Astyanax mexicanus: one gene and its partners. The protein of the gene in region 1 purifies or fractionates together with the protein of each later gene. This does not show direct contact. Links are inferred from orthologs where the notes say so. Each region holds a gene or a part of one and is shown on either strand. Other genes may lie near its edges. The genes, in order: vangl2, dvl2 and sqstm1.

Region 1 (3,756 bases):
CATTGAACAACAACACGTTTCATTACTGAAGACAACAATTTTAAAATCTTAAATTACAGTTATAAGGCTTTTTTAACATCCTCTAGCTGAATGTCCAGTAGGGCCTCGTCAATAATATCGCCTACATTTTTAAATATAGTGAACGCCTGGAATATCGTGTCATATCACCCACCCCTAATTATCACATCAAGGTACTACTTTTAGTGCTGTTTTAAGCAAAATAAAAATTCACACGCCCCATGTCCCATTACAAAGCTCTGGAAAAAAATAAGAGACCACTTAAAAATTATGAGTTTCGTTGATTTTGCCAAATGGGAAACCTCTGGAATATAATCAAGAGGAAGATGTATGATCACAGCCATCAAACCAAACGGAATGCCAGGAGTGGCATAAATTTATCCAAAATGTGATGCGAATGACAATAAAATCTCCTTGAAAAAGCAGTGTGTGAGACTGGTGGAGAAGAACATGCCAAGATGCATGAGAACTGTGATTAAAAAACAGGATTATTCCACCACATATTGATTTTTGTCTTGCATTATTTGAGGTCTGAAAGTTGTGCATCTTTTTTTTGTTATTTCAGCCATAAATGCTATGAATATTTTTATTTGGAATTTGGGAGAAATGTTGTATGTACAACAATGTTAATTTTACTCAAACATTTACCTATAAAAAAACTAAAACAGAGAAAATGATTCAAAAACTGAAGTGGTCTCTTATTTTTTGTGCTTTGTGCTTTTAAACTTTTAAACTCCGGTTATCCAGTTATAAGACTTTTAAACATGCTCTAGCTGTATATCCAGCACATAGTAGCAGCAATGCTAGCGTCTTTGCTGCCTAAGAATCGTTAGTTTTAGAGAAATTTAAGTATAAAATTCAAATTTCTTTGCTTTTATAGAAAAAATATTTTTTTTTTGCTTTCTAAAAATTTAAGAAAACCCAAGATGAGTAGTTAGACACTATTTTTAATTTGAGCTTTTAGCCGTTTAGCTCCATTCACTCCCATTATTTGAGGACTCGCTCGCGGGCTCCCCCTAGCGGATCGTGATTGTTATGACATAACAAGGAGAATAGGAAGTGGGCAGGCTCTCTGTAAACAGGCTCTGCAGCTAACCGCTCCCCCTCCAGATCCAGGAGGAGCAGGAGCAGAAGAAGCTAGCTAGCAAACTGGACTGAAGCTGGGATTGGACTGGATTTGAGGGCTTTTCTTGCAAACCAGTCCATCTAAACTTTTAAAAAGTTAGCTTAGCTTCAATACATAGCTTTAGTAGCCTGTAACTTAGCTAGATAGCTAGCTGACTGACTGACTGTGTGTGTGTTAATGGAAAGGGGTGGGGGTTGAAGTAGTTACAGCTGCTGCTGCTGCTGCTGCTGCTTCTTTATGGTCGTCCACTGTCTTTGGAAGAAGAGGATAAAGGAGATAGCTGGATGATAGAGACGCACCATACAACAAACAAGCCGTGCCTTTTCCTAGCTAGCTTGCTAACCTAGCTAACCTACTCTCCATGATCTCCACCGCCCTTCGCCTGGATGCTTTCCCAGCAGATCTGCTGCTCCATGTGATGAATGAACGTATTCACACACACAGCGGGGCTCAAAGCGCACTGGAGTACCTCCAAACAAGGCTCTCGGATCTCACACTACGCTCATCCTAGCGAGTATCGCCTTTGTTGAGCTTTGTTTTCTTGTTTTCCTCTAAACCCGAGCTGCCTTTTGTGCCAAACATCACAGCGGAACCCAGAAACGCACGGTTTGTCTCTTAGTTTGGAGCAGAAAAAAGGCAGCGGCTCTTGGATTTCCCTTTGTGTTGCTCCTGCCAGGCCCTCGGATCCGCTCTCAGAGACGGGGTGAGTCTACAAAGTGTCGTTTTTAACCAAAAACGAAGCCTGTTTTTCACTCTTTTGTCCGTTCCTTTCTTTCTCCCTTTCTCTTTCCTTCTTTTGTTGGGCTGAGTGGCTGCATTGCATTTTCTAGCTTCCTGCAATCACTTATTTATTAGACTGTGCTCACTAATGGATAGCTAGGTAGCGTTTGCTAGCTAACCTAGGTTATGTACGTTAGCTAACGTTTGATACCTTGGATCATTGTTAGCTAGAAGTTAAGTTAGATAACTATAGAAAAACTCAGTGTGGAAAGGGATTAAATGAAAATGATAGCATTAATAGACGTTGCAGGACATTCCTTCTCCAGTTTAAGTCACTATAAGCAGTGTTTTAACCCCAAAAACACGTTCAATTTACAATTGACTCTTCTTTACATTGTTTGAGCTTTCAAAAACTTAATTATAATAAGCAAATACATTAATTCCTCCTTTAGTTTGAGTCACTTTGTTTAGAGTTTAACTCCAAATCACATTAAATCTCCCATTGACTCCTAAGCCTTTATTATAAAGGCTTAATAATCAGCGAGAACATTTATTTCTCCTTTAGTTTCAATCTTCAAACCATCAATTAACCCTACAGGACCATCTTTAACCCTAAATTCAGTGTGAAAGCAGAGTTGTGAACCTCAAAACACGTGAAATGTCCCATTTGACTCATATCTTTTCATTGTTTAAGCTGTTAAAGGTTTAAGAATCAGCATAAACTAAATTCATTAACGTTACTCCTCCAGGTTGAAACTAAACCATAAATCAACTGAATAAACCATCTTTAACTCTAAATAATTAGTGTTAAAGCAGAGTTTTAACCCCAAAACACGTTAAATCTCCCATTTGACACCTGACTTTTCGTTCTGTGAGCTTTTAAATACATAATAATTTTATAGACACAAACCTTAATTGCTTATTCAGTTTGAATTCCTAAACCATGTTTTAAACTTCAGTTATTCTAAAGCCACACAATGACTACTATATTTTCATTAAAATTATAAAGGCTTAATAGCCAGTAAAACCTATGAACAGCTCTTAGTTCAATTTATTTACTCTTTTACTTTTCTTTAAGCTTTATGCCTTAAAAATATGGTATTAAATAATGTGTAAAAAGGACGTTAACCCTTCCATTGTAGCTATAGTATTTGAATGCAACTTCTGTAGGATTTTTCTAACCTATCAAGAATAAAACGTTTCAAAGTGCATATATGACGTATTATATTTGTATTGTTAAAGCTATAAATGGCTTAACTAATACTAAATAAATAAACAGTAAATCCTTATTCAGTTTAAGTATATAAGCAGTTTTATAACCCTACGACGATTTAAAGCAGTTTGAGTCTCTAAAGTAATTTTTCTTTACCTAAAATCTTTTAAAGCTCCTTTACAGTTTATTTTTGCCTTATTTAAACGTTTAATGCATTAAAAGTAACCTGGTATGATATAACTTAGTATGTGGGTGTCTGGAAATGGCTCTTCCATTCCACCTTAAATGGTGCAGTAATTAAAAGCAACTGCAATTATAATTATTTTTAATTAAATAGCTTAAAGCTCTACATTCGGTCTGTTTTCTGCCTGTTTAAGCTTTGTAAGTGCCTTAAAATATGTAATACTAAACTAAATTTGGCATCCATACCACCTTAAATGAAGCAGTGTAACCTCTGCAGCGTTTAAGGTGGAATGGAAACAAAAGTCAAATAAGATGCGTTCATAAAGTCGTCAAATTAAACGTAACTAGTTAAAAATGTTTGACCTGAACATATTTTGCCAACGTAAAAACTCACCCTGTTTTAGTCTAATCTCTCTCGGAAATGGCTTTAACCAACTCAGTTGTCCTCAGTTCGCCTGGCTGCACTAAACTTAAGCCAAAGTGAGAGTGAATCATA
Region 2 (3,756 bases), about 6.3 Mb from region 1:
TCAACCTAAACTTACATGTTTTTCTTTCATTCTCTGCTTATTTTTGTGTGTTAAACACTTTGGTACTCTTTGCTTAAATTAGATTTAACCTAAAACACTAACTAGGAGGGTCTGATACATGACAACCTGCCAGGACTCACTGAGCTGAACTACGAAAAACAAGATGACAAACAAAAAGGGTTTAATGTGACAGTGAACTGACAAATAGTGTTCATTAACTATTAATCAAACAAAGCTATTAAGCCACAACATTTCCATGTGCATGATAAAACCTTTTGTGTGAGTAAACACACAAAAAATTCTCCCTTATTGCACCCAGATTGCTGCACAAGTCAGCATGGAGTTACTTCTCAGACAGACATAAACCAATTACAGGTTTGGTCTGAAAAGGCTGTCAGAGGCTGTGTTTAGGTAGTGTACCTCTTGGTGAGAGAATGTTGACTACTAGACATGCCTCTACAACTCACTTCAAGACATTTTGCCAAGCTGTCTCAGCCAGAATGCAGAGAGCATTTATGGGACCATCTGCAACACCAGCTTCACCAACTCACCAGCTTCAGGCAAACTCTGTCCCAAACCCAAAATCCCAAACTCTGTTTCAAACCAAAATCCCAAACCAAAATCCCCAAACCCCTAACCCTGTCCCAAACCAAAATCCCCAAACCCCTAACCCTGTCCCAAAACAAAATCCAAACCCAAACCAAAATCCCCAAACCCTTAACCCCGTCCCAATCCCAAACCAAAATCCCAAACCCCTAACCCTGTCCCAAACCAAAACCCAAACCAAAATCCCCAAACCCCTAACCCTGTCCCAATCCCAAACCAAAATCCCAAAACCCCTAACCCTGTCCCAAACCAAAATCCCCAAACCCCTAACCCTGTCCCAAACCAAAATCCCCAAACCCCTAACCCTGTCCCAAACCAAAATCCCCTAACCCTGTCCCAAACCAAAATCCAAACCCAAACCAAAATCCCAAACACCTAACTCTGTCCCAATCCCAAACCAAAATCCCAAACTCTGTTCCAAACCCAAAATTTCTAACTCTTTCCCAAACCCAAACCAAAATCACAAACTCTGTCCCAAACTCAAAATTTCTAACTCTTTTCCAAATCCAACCCAAGATCCCAAACTCTGTCCCAAACCCCTAACCCATGCCTGTTCCTCGGGTGAGCAGGACCCTCCCTGGCTGGGCTGACGTCACGCGCCGCGTTGGCCTTCACTGGAGAGGAGTTTGAAACTCCGCCGTGTTGTTGTTGGAGGAAAAGCAGCGGCTGCAGGAGAGCAGAGAGAGCAGAGCTGAGCTGAGTGCGGGTGTGATTTGTGCAGCCGGGCGCTTTTTTAAGGGTTTAGCTGATTGTTTTGAGTTAGTTTAGGAGGAGAAAGGGAAATGTTGGGGATATAGAGGCAGTGGAGGTGGGCTGGGGGCCGTTGGAGCTTTTTTTTGTTGGTTAAAAGTTTATGCTCGCTTGCTTGGAAACGCTGGGTAAAGTTAGCCTGAGACTCCAGTCTGCTCCAGTCGACCCCCTCCACCACCTCCTCCCTCCTCCCTCCTCCTCCTCCTTCTTCTCCTCCTCCTCCTCTTCTTCTCGTTAGCTGGGCTACCCCTAGCGTTAGCCAGTTAGCTAGCTAACCTAGCTAGCCTCCCAGCCTCTTCCATAGTTTAGAGGATCCAGAGGGGGAAAGTAGAGGAGAAAGAATGGCGGAGACTAAAATAATTTATCACATCGATGAAGAGGAGACGCCGTACTTGGTGAAGATTCCCATACCGGCGGAGAAAATCACTCTGCTGGATTTTAAACAGGTCCTAAACAAGCCGAACTACAAATTCTTCTTCAAGTCTATGGATCAGGACTTCGGGTGAGTGAGGGAAGGAGGGAGGGATAGAGGAGTGGGGGCTCTGCAGGAATGGGTTGCCATGCAAATGATGTGGCCGAGAGGAAGAAAAGTTCTTATAAAAACTTTAAAAAGTTAGAAAAAGTTTACATTCCTCGCTCCCGTTGTAGATTATGGCTCCACACGCCTTGTTGAGCTGAAGGATGAACTTTTTAACAGTTTCTTCTAAAGGAAAAGTTGACAGTTAGGCTGACTGTTAACAACAGCGTCCAGGTTTATAAGCTAGGTTAGCTAACCTACTGCATTGTTCAAGGTAGCGTTAGGTTAGCACACTATCAGTTAAATCAGACTCCGCCGGATAAAAAAACAAAGACACGCACAGAGGATTTAACATTTTTAAACATTTTAATGCATCTAAAATTAGATAAAGCTGTTTTAGCTAAATGTATGATAGTTCTCCTCCTGACCAAGCTAACCCAGCTAGCGTTAGGTAGCTGCTTATCCTAGTTGAATGTCAGGCCCACCAAAGTACAGCATAACTGGTTAACTAATTTAACGTTACTTGTTAACTAACTAAGCTAACGTTACGTAAATAAAATCCAAACTCAAGCCAGCTAAATCATGAATCATCATGGGCTATGTCAAGCCCTTTTAGTCCTAACTCAGTTTTTACACTCTGTAAAGCATTTTAAAACTAGTTAACGTTACTCTTATTTCAGGTATCATCTATAACATTTTTACAATTCTGACAATTCATGTTACCAGGACAACATATCCATAATATACTTTATTATATACTATTATACTAATATACTTTACCAATAGTTCCAGTTTTTACTAATAAAATCTTCAGTTACAGATATCTATAATTATTTTTTTTACTAGTAATTTACTAGTTACACTTTCAGGTATCGTCTATAAGTTAGCTAGCATTTTTACAATTCTGACAAAAGTCATGTTATCAGGACAACATATCCATAATATACTTTTGACTAGTCAGAGTCATCTCTTACCTATAGTTCCAGTTTTTATTACTAAAATCTTTAGTTACAGATATCTTTTGATATATATATATATATTTATTTATTTTTTACAATTAATTTATTAGTTACACTTTCAGCTATCCTCTATAACCTAGCTAAAATGTTTACAATTATGACAAAAGTCATGTTATCAGGACAACATATCCATAATATACTTTTGACTAGTCAGTCATCTCTTACATTTGGTTACAGTTCTTACAACTACAATCTTTAGGCTTTAACTATTGTTTTTACTAGTTATTTATTAGTTAAGTTACACTTTCAGGAACCGTCTATAAGCAAGCTAATATCTTTACAATTCTCACAAAAGTTATGTTACCAGGACAACATATCCATAACATATCCATAATGTTCAAAAAAAGTCCAAAAGTTGTAATTTCAGACATCTGCAATAATTCTCACTTGTAACAAGTATAGGTCCATATATCTGTAATAGGGCGTTATTATTTTAGGGCGACATGGCCTTAAAATAATATCATGATTTTTTTAGGGTATTTTTGCAGTAACAATATTCTTGCTGTTATGACAAAACATTGACAAATAAAACAAAATGTCAAGAATACACAACTGCAACAAAGTAAATGTTAAATTATATTTGGAAATATTATTGCATACGCTGTGATATGGAAGATCCCTGTTATCTAATTGTAACAGAAGTCAATGATCCAACATGTCATGTCACTAATAATGCATTCCTCTGTTCAGGATTGAAGTAAAATAAATTATATGGACATATTAAATACACTTTTTAATGGCAAATGAGAACAGTGTGAATTTTCCTTTTGGTACAAACAGCATGCTGTACGAACAGCATGGCCCAAATGTCCCTAAACTAATATGATATTTCAGGGTATTGTTGCAATAACACTATTCACAAAA
Region 3 (3,756 bases), on another chromosome or scaffold:
CATGAATTAGCATTTATACTAGTCAGAAATATTTTTTCCAGGTTTATTTATTATTTTTTTCATGTAATAATGCAGAACAAAATCCAATCCAATCAAATAAGTCTAAGCAAAAATAGAGGGAAAAATACAAAAAAGGTACGCTGAAAAAAAGAATACTAAAAAAAGAAACATAAATAACATAATAGATAGAAAAACACAATCATACAATAAATATTCAACAGTTACTCAGGAATAACAAAGGATTGTAAGGTCCTCACATATACAAAGAACGGTTCCCACATTTTCTTAGGTGCTCAGCGAGCCTCTAATGGTGTACCTGATTTTCTCCATTTTGACACATTAGTAAGAAATAGTTTATGTTATAAGGATATGTTGTGCTGTGACTAGTTAGAATGGTTTTATAAATTAATGGGTCTGATATTATTACTAACAAACATTTTATAGATGAATCTTTAACTCTGAACGATTCTACTAGTAAAAATAGCATTACAGGGTTTTGTAATTTGAAGTGTTGGTAGTAAAATTAGTTTTACTTTAGTTTAACTGATTTTAGGTTAAAAAGGCGCTGTATGCACAGTGACAGAGACATGTCCTCGGTGGTGATATCAGGGGGAAATCCCCGGGTGGAAAGTGCTGTGTCATTCCTCGGCCTTTAACATCCCCCCTGTGCTTGGCCCCGCCCACCCCCCCCCCCCCCACCCCGCGCTGTTGTACTGCCTCTGATCACAATAACACGCCGTGAGCTTTGTCCGCCTGTCAAGAAGCACTTAGCCCCGCCCCCCAGGACCCAGGCCGTGTTTCCGATTGGGCGGCTGGGCGGTATAAAAGCTGCGGCTGAGCGGGAGGGCAGGATCGGAGAGGAGCCGCGGCTGCAGGAGGCGTGACGCTCAGCTGACTGCTGATTTAAAGGGAAGTGAATTTCTGCTGCGCAACAAACCCCACAGCCCGACTTCTTGATCCGCAGCAGTTTGTGTCGCGGGAGAAAAAGACGCGAAAATGTCGATGACCGTCAAAGCTTACCTCCTGGGGAAGGAGGACAGCCACAGGGAGATTCGGCGCTTCGCCGTCGACCAGGACGTGTCGACAAGTTTCGAGTACCTGAGCCGCAAAGTGGTGGATGTTTTTACCAACCTCCGGAATGCCACATTCCAAATGTACTACAAAGGTAAGTTAGGACTTTAATACAGAAATAATCTCTTTAACTAGATAAAGTTATAATAGTGTGGGGTTACACAGGCTGGGCTCCTTCCTCCAGTGTTTGGTTTAATGGGACTTTAACCTGAATGGGTTATTTATTAACCGGCCAACCGAGGCCTTAATACCACCTTATTACACTGTAACTAATTCTTAGTTACTTAGCGAGGTTAGCTAATGGGCATCGTGTAATCTGGTTAAATCTGAGCTATAGCCTCTTTTCACTATTACACTATGACATTATGACTTTGGTCTGGTTATAAAACTATACCTTAAACAAGTTTATTTTGTGTATATATATAACTGAAGTGCCCCCTGCTGTATGTGTATATATATATATATATATATATATATATATATATATATATATATATATATAGTATATATGTAATGACAGTAAGCTATAATTAAGTTTACAGTATAATTATAATGTGTTTTAAGGTTTTTAGATAGCTAATATTCTAACTTCAGTATAAAGAAACAGACAGTAAGCTAGGTTAGCTAGTTCATGTTCATGTTCATCAGCATATTATATCAACACAGGTTCAGCTGCTCAGACTTGTTTTCCTTCATTGTTTCTGGTTGTGTGTCGACTCCACCCTTGTAATGGAAATACACCTAATTAAGCTCAAACAGAGTTTTGTGTTTAAATCTCTAAATGAGATGTTTTACAGCATTTCAGCATATTTTCATGATATATATATACATACATACATTTATACATATATGTACAGTGGCAGTATTTGCCCTCTTACAGATTTCTTTTGAATTTTTGTCATACTTACATTTTTCAGATGATCAAATTTTTATATCAAACAAACTATCCAAACCAATCTAGCCCTTTGTAAAAAAAAGTGTTTGTCCCCCATAAATTAACTGATTAATCACACTTTGGAAAGCTGAGTTCAATTTCACTATCCACAACCAGGCGTGATTATTGCCAGACCTGTAGAATTAAGAACACTGAACCTTCCCAGGAGTGGCCGGCAGACCGAAATTATTGCAAAATGGCATGGACAACTCATCCAGGAGGTCACAAAATAACCTAAAACAACATATAAAGAAGTGCAGGTCTCACTTCCCTCAATTAGATCAGTATTAATGATATAATAATGAGAAAGAGACTGGTCGAAAGTTGTACCCATGGAAGAGTTCCAAGGCAAAATACACTGCTGACCAAAAAGAACAGCCCGTCTCACATTTTTCAAAAAACATCTTGGAGACTTTGGACAAATGTTCTTTGCACTGATGAGACAAAAGTGGAACTTTTTGGAAGGTTTGTATCCCTCTACAAATGGCGTAAAACTAACACATAATTTTAGTAAAAAACATCATCCTGAATGTAAAACATGGTGGTGGTAGTATGATGGTCTGGGGCTGCTTTGCTCCTTCAGAACCCGGAAAACTTGCTGTAACAGATGGAACCAGGAATTCTGTTGTTTACTAGACAGTCCTGAATGAGAATGTACAGCCAACTGTTCATGACCTCAAGCTCAGGCGTACCTTGGTTCTGCAGCAGGACAATAACCTGAAGCACACAAACAAGTCCACCCCTGAAAGTCTCTAAAAAAAACAAAACAAAATGAAGGTTTTGGAGTGGTCTAGTCAATATCTGATTAAGATGCTGTGGCATGATATTATACAGGCTGTTCATGCTCGAAAACCCTCCAATGAGGCTGAATTAAAATAATTTAATTTAATTCAGTCTTTTACACAGAGATGTGAAAGACTCATTGCAAGTTATCAGTAAAGCTTGATTGCAGTTGTTACCGCCAAGGGTAGTGCAACAAAGTTATTAGGCTTAGGGGTAAAAAAAAAATCACGAAAGGCTAAAATGGTTTGAATAGTTTTTTCCTTTAATAAATAAAATTATAATTTAAGTTTTATATTTATTCAGGTAATATTAAAGTTTGTTTAATAATTAGAAAAATATTAGAAACTCATTTCCGCTTTTCTCTTGTCCTTCAGATGAGGATGGTGACATGATTGCCTTCTCCACTGATGATGAGCTCATGATGGGATTGACTCTGGTGAAGGAAGACACCTTCCGTCTCTTCATTAAGGGTAAGTTGCATAAGAATGCAAACGGTTGTTTGTGAATCTTACATAAAGATTTTATTAAGAACATTTTGGCAAACATTCAGTGTGAGAATCTGTGGAAATGCTTGATATCATCTGATCAGACCTAAAACCTAAAGCATAAAACCAGTTTTAATCCTTTTTTCACAGTTAATAACCTTCTTAATAATAACCTGTTTTTTTTTTTGTTTTTTTGTTTTTTCAGAAAAAAAGGAGCACAAGCGTGACTTCTCTCCACATGGGTTTCCAGGGTTTTCCTTTGGCCATCCTCCAGGACCACATCACATGGGGCCACCTGGGCACCATCATGGTGGACATCATGGCGAACATCATGGGGGACATCATGGAGGACATCACGGAGGACATCATGGTGGGCCCCATGGACCACCTCCAAATGGACCACCTCCACATATGGGCCCACCTCCACACCAAGCTCCCCCCATGATTCACCCTGGTGTGACCTGTGATGGATGTGAGGGCCAA

The links.
Region 2: the proteins of vangl2 (region 1) and dvl2 purify together in Homo sapiens (affinity purification with mass spectrometry; 4 studies listed by BioGRID and IntAct, with this or other methods). This does not show direct contact. The link is inferred for Astyanax mexicanus from reciprocal best matches to the Homo sapiens genes VANGL2 and DVL2.
Region 3: the proteins of vangl2 (region 1) and sqstm1 purify together in Homo sapiens (affinity purification with western blotting; 3 studies listed by BioGRID, with this or other methods). This does not show direct contact. The link is inferred for Astyanax mexicanus from reciprocal best matches to the Homo sapiens genes VANGL2 and SQSTM1.

What each region holds. Positions count from the first base shown.
Region 1 is NC_064415.1:12,406,683-12,410,438, forward strand, and holds the start of vangl2 (vang-like protein 2), read left to right. Parts: upstream 1-1,129; 5' UTR 1,130-1,847; intron 1,848-3,756. UniProt on the Homo sapiens protein: Involved in the control of early morphogenesis and patterning of both axial midline structures and the development of neural plate. Plays a role in the regulation of planar cell polarity, particularly in the orientation of stereociliary bundles in the cochlea.
Region 2 is NC_064415.1:18,703,997-18,707,752, forward strand, and holds the start of dvl2 (segment polarity protein dishevelled homolog DVL-2), read left to right. Parts: upstream 1-1,200; 5' UTR 1,201-1,697; coding exon 1,698-1,858; intron 1,859-3,756.
Region 3 is NC_064417.1:17,978,269-17,982,024, reverse strand, and holds the start of sqstm1 (sequestosome-1), read left to right. Parts: upstream 1-838; 5' UTR 839-996; coding exon 997-1,165; intron 1,166-3,162; coding exon 3,163-3,258; intron 3,259-3,478; coding exon 3,479-3,756. UniProt on the Homo sapiens protein: Molecular adapter required for selective macroautophagy (aggrephagy) by acting as a bridge between polyubiquitinated proteins and autophagosomes.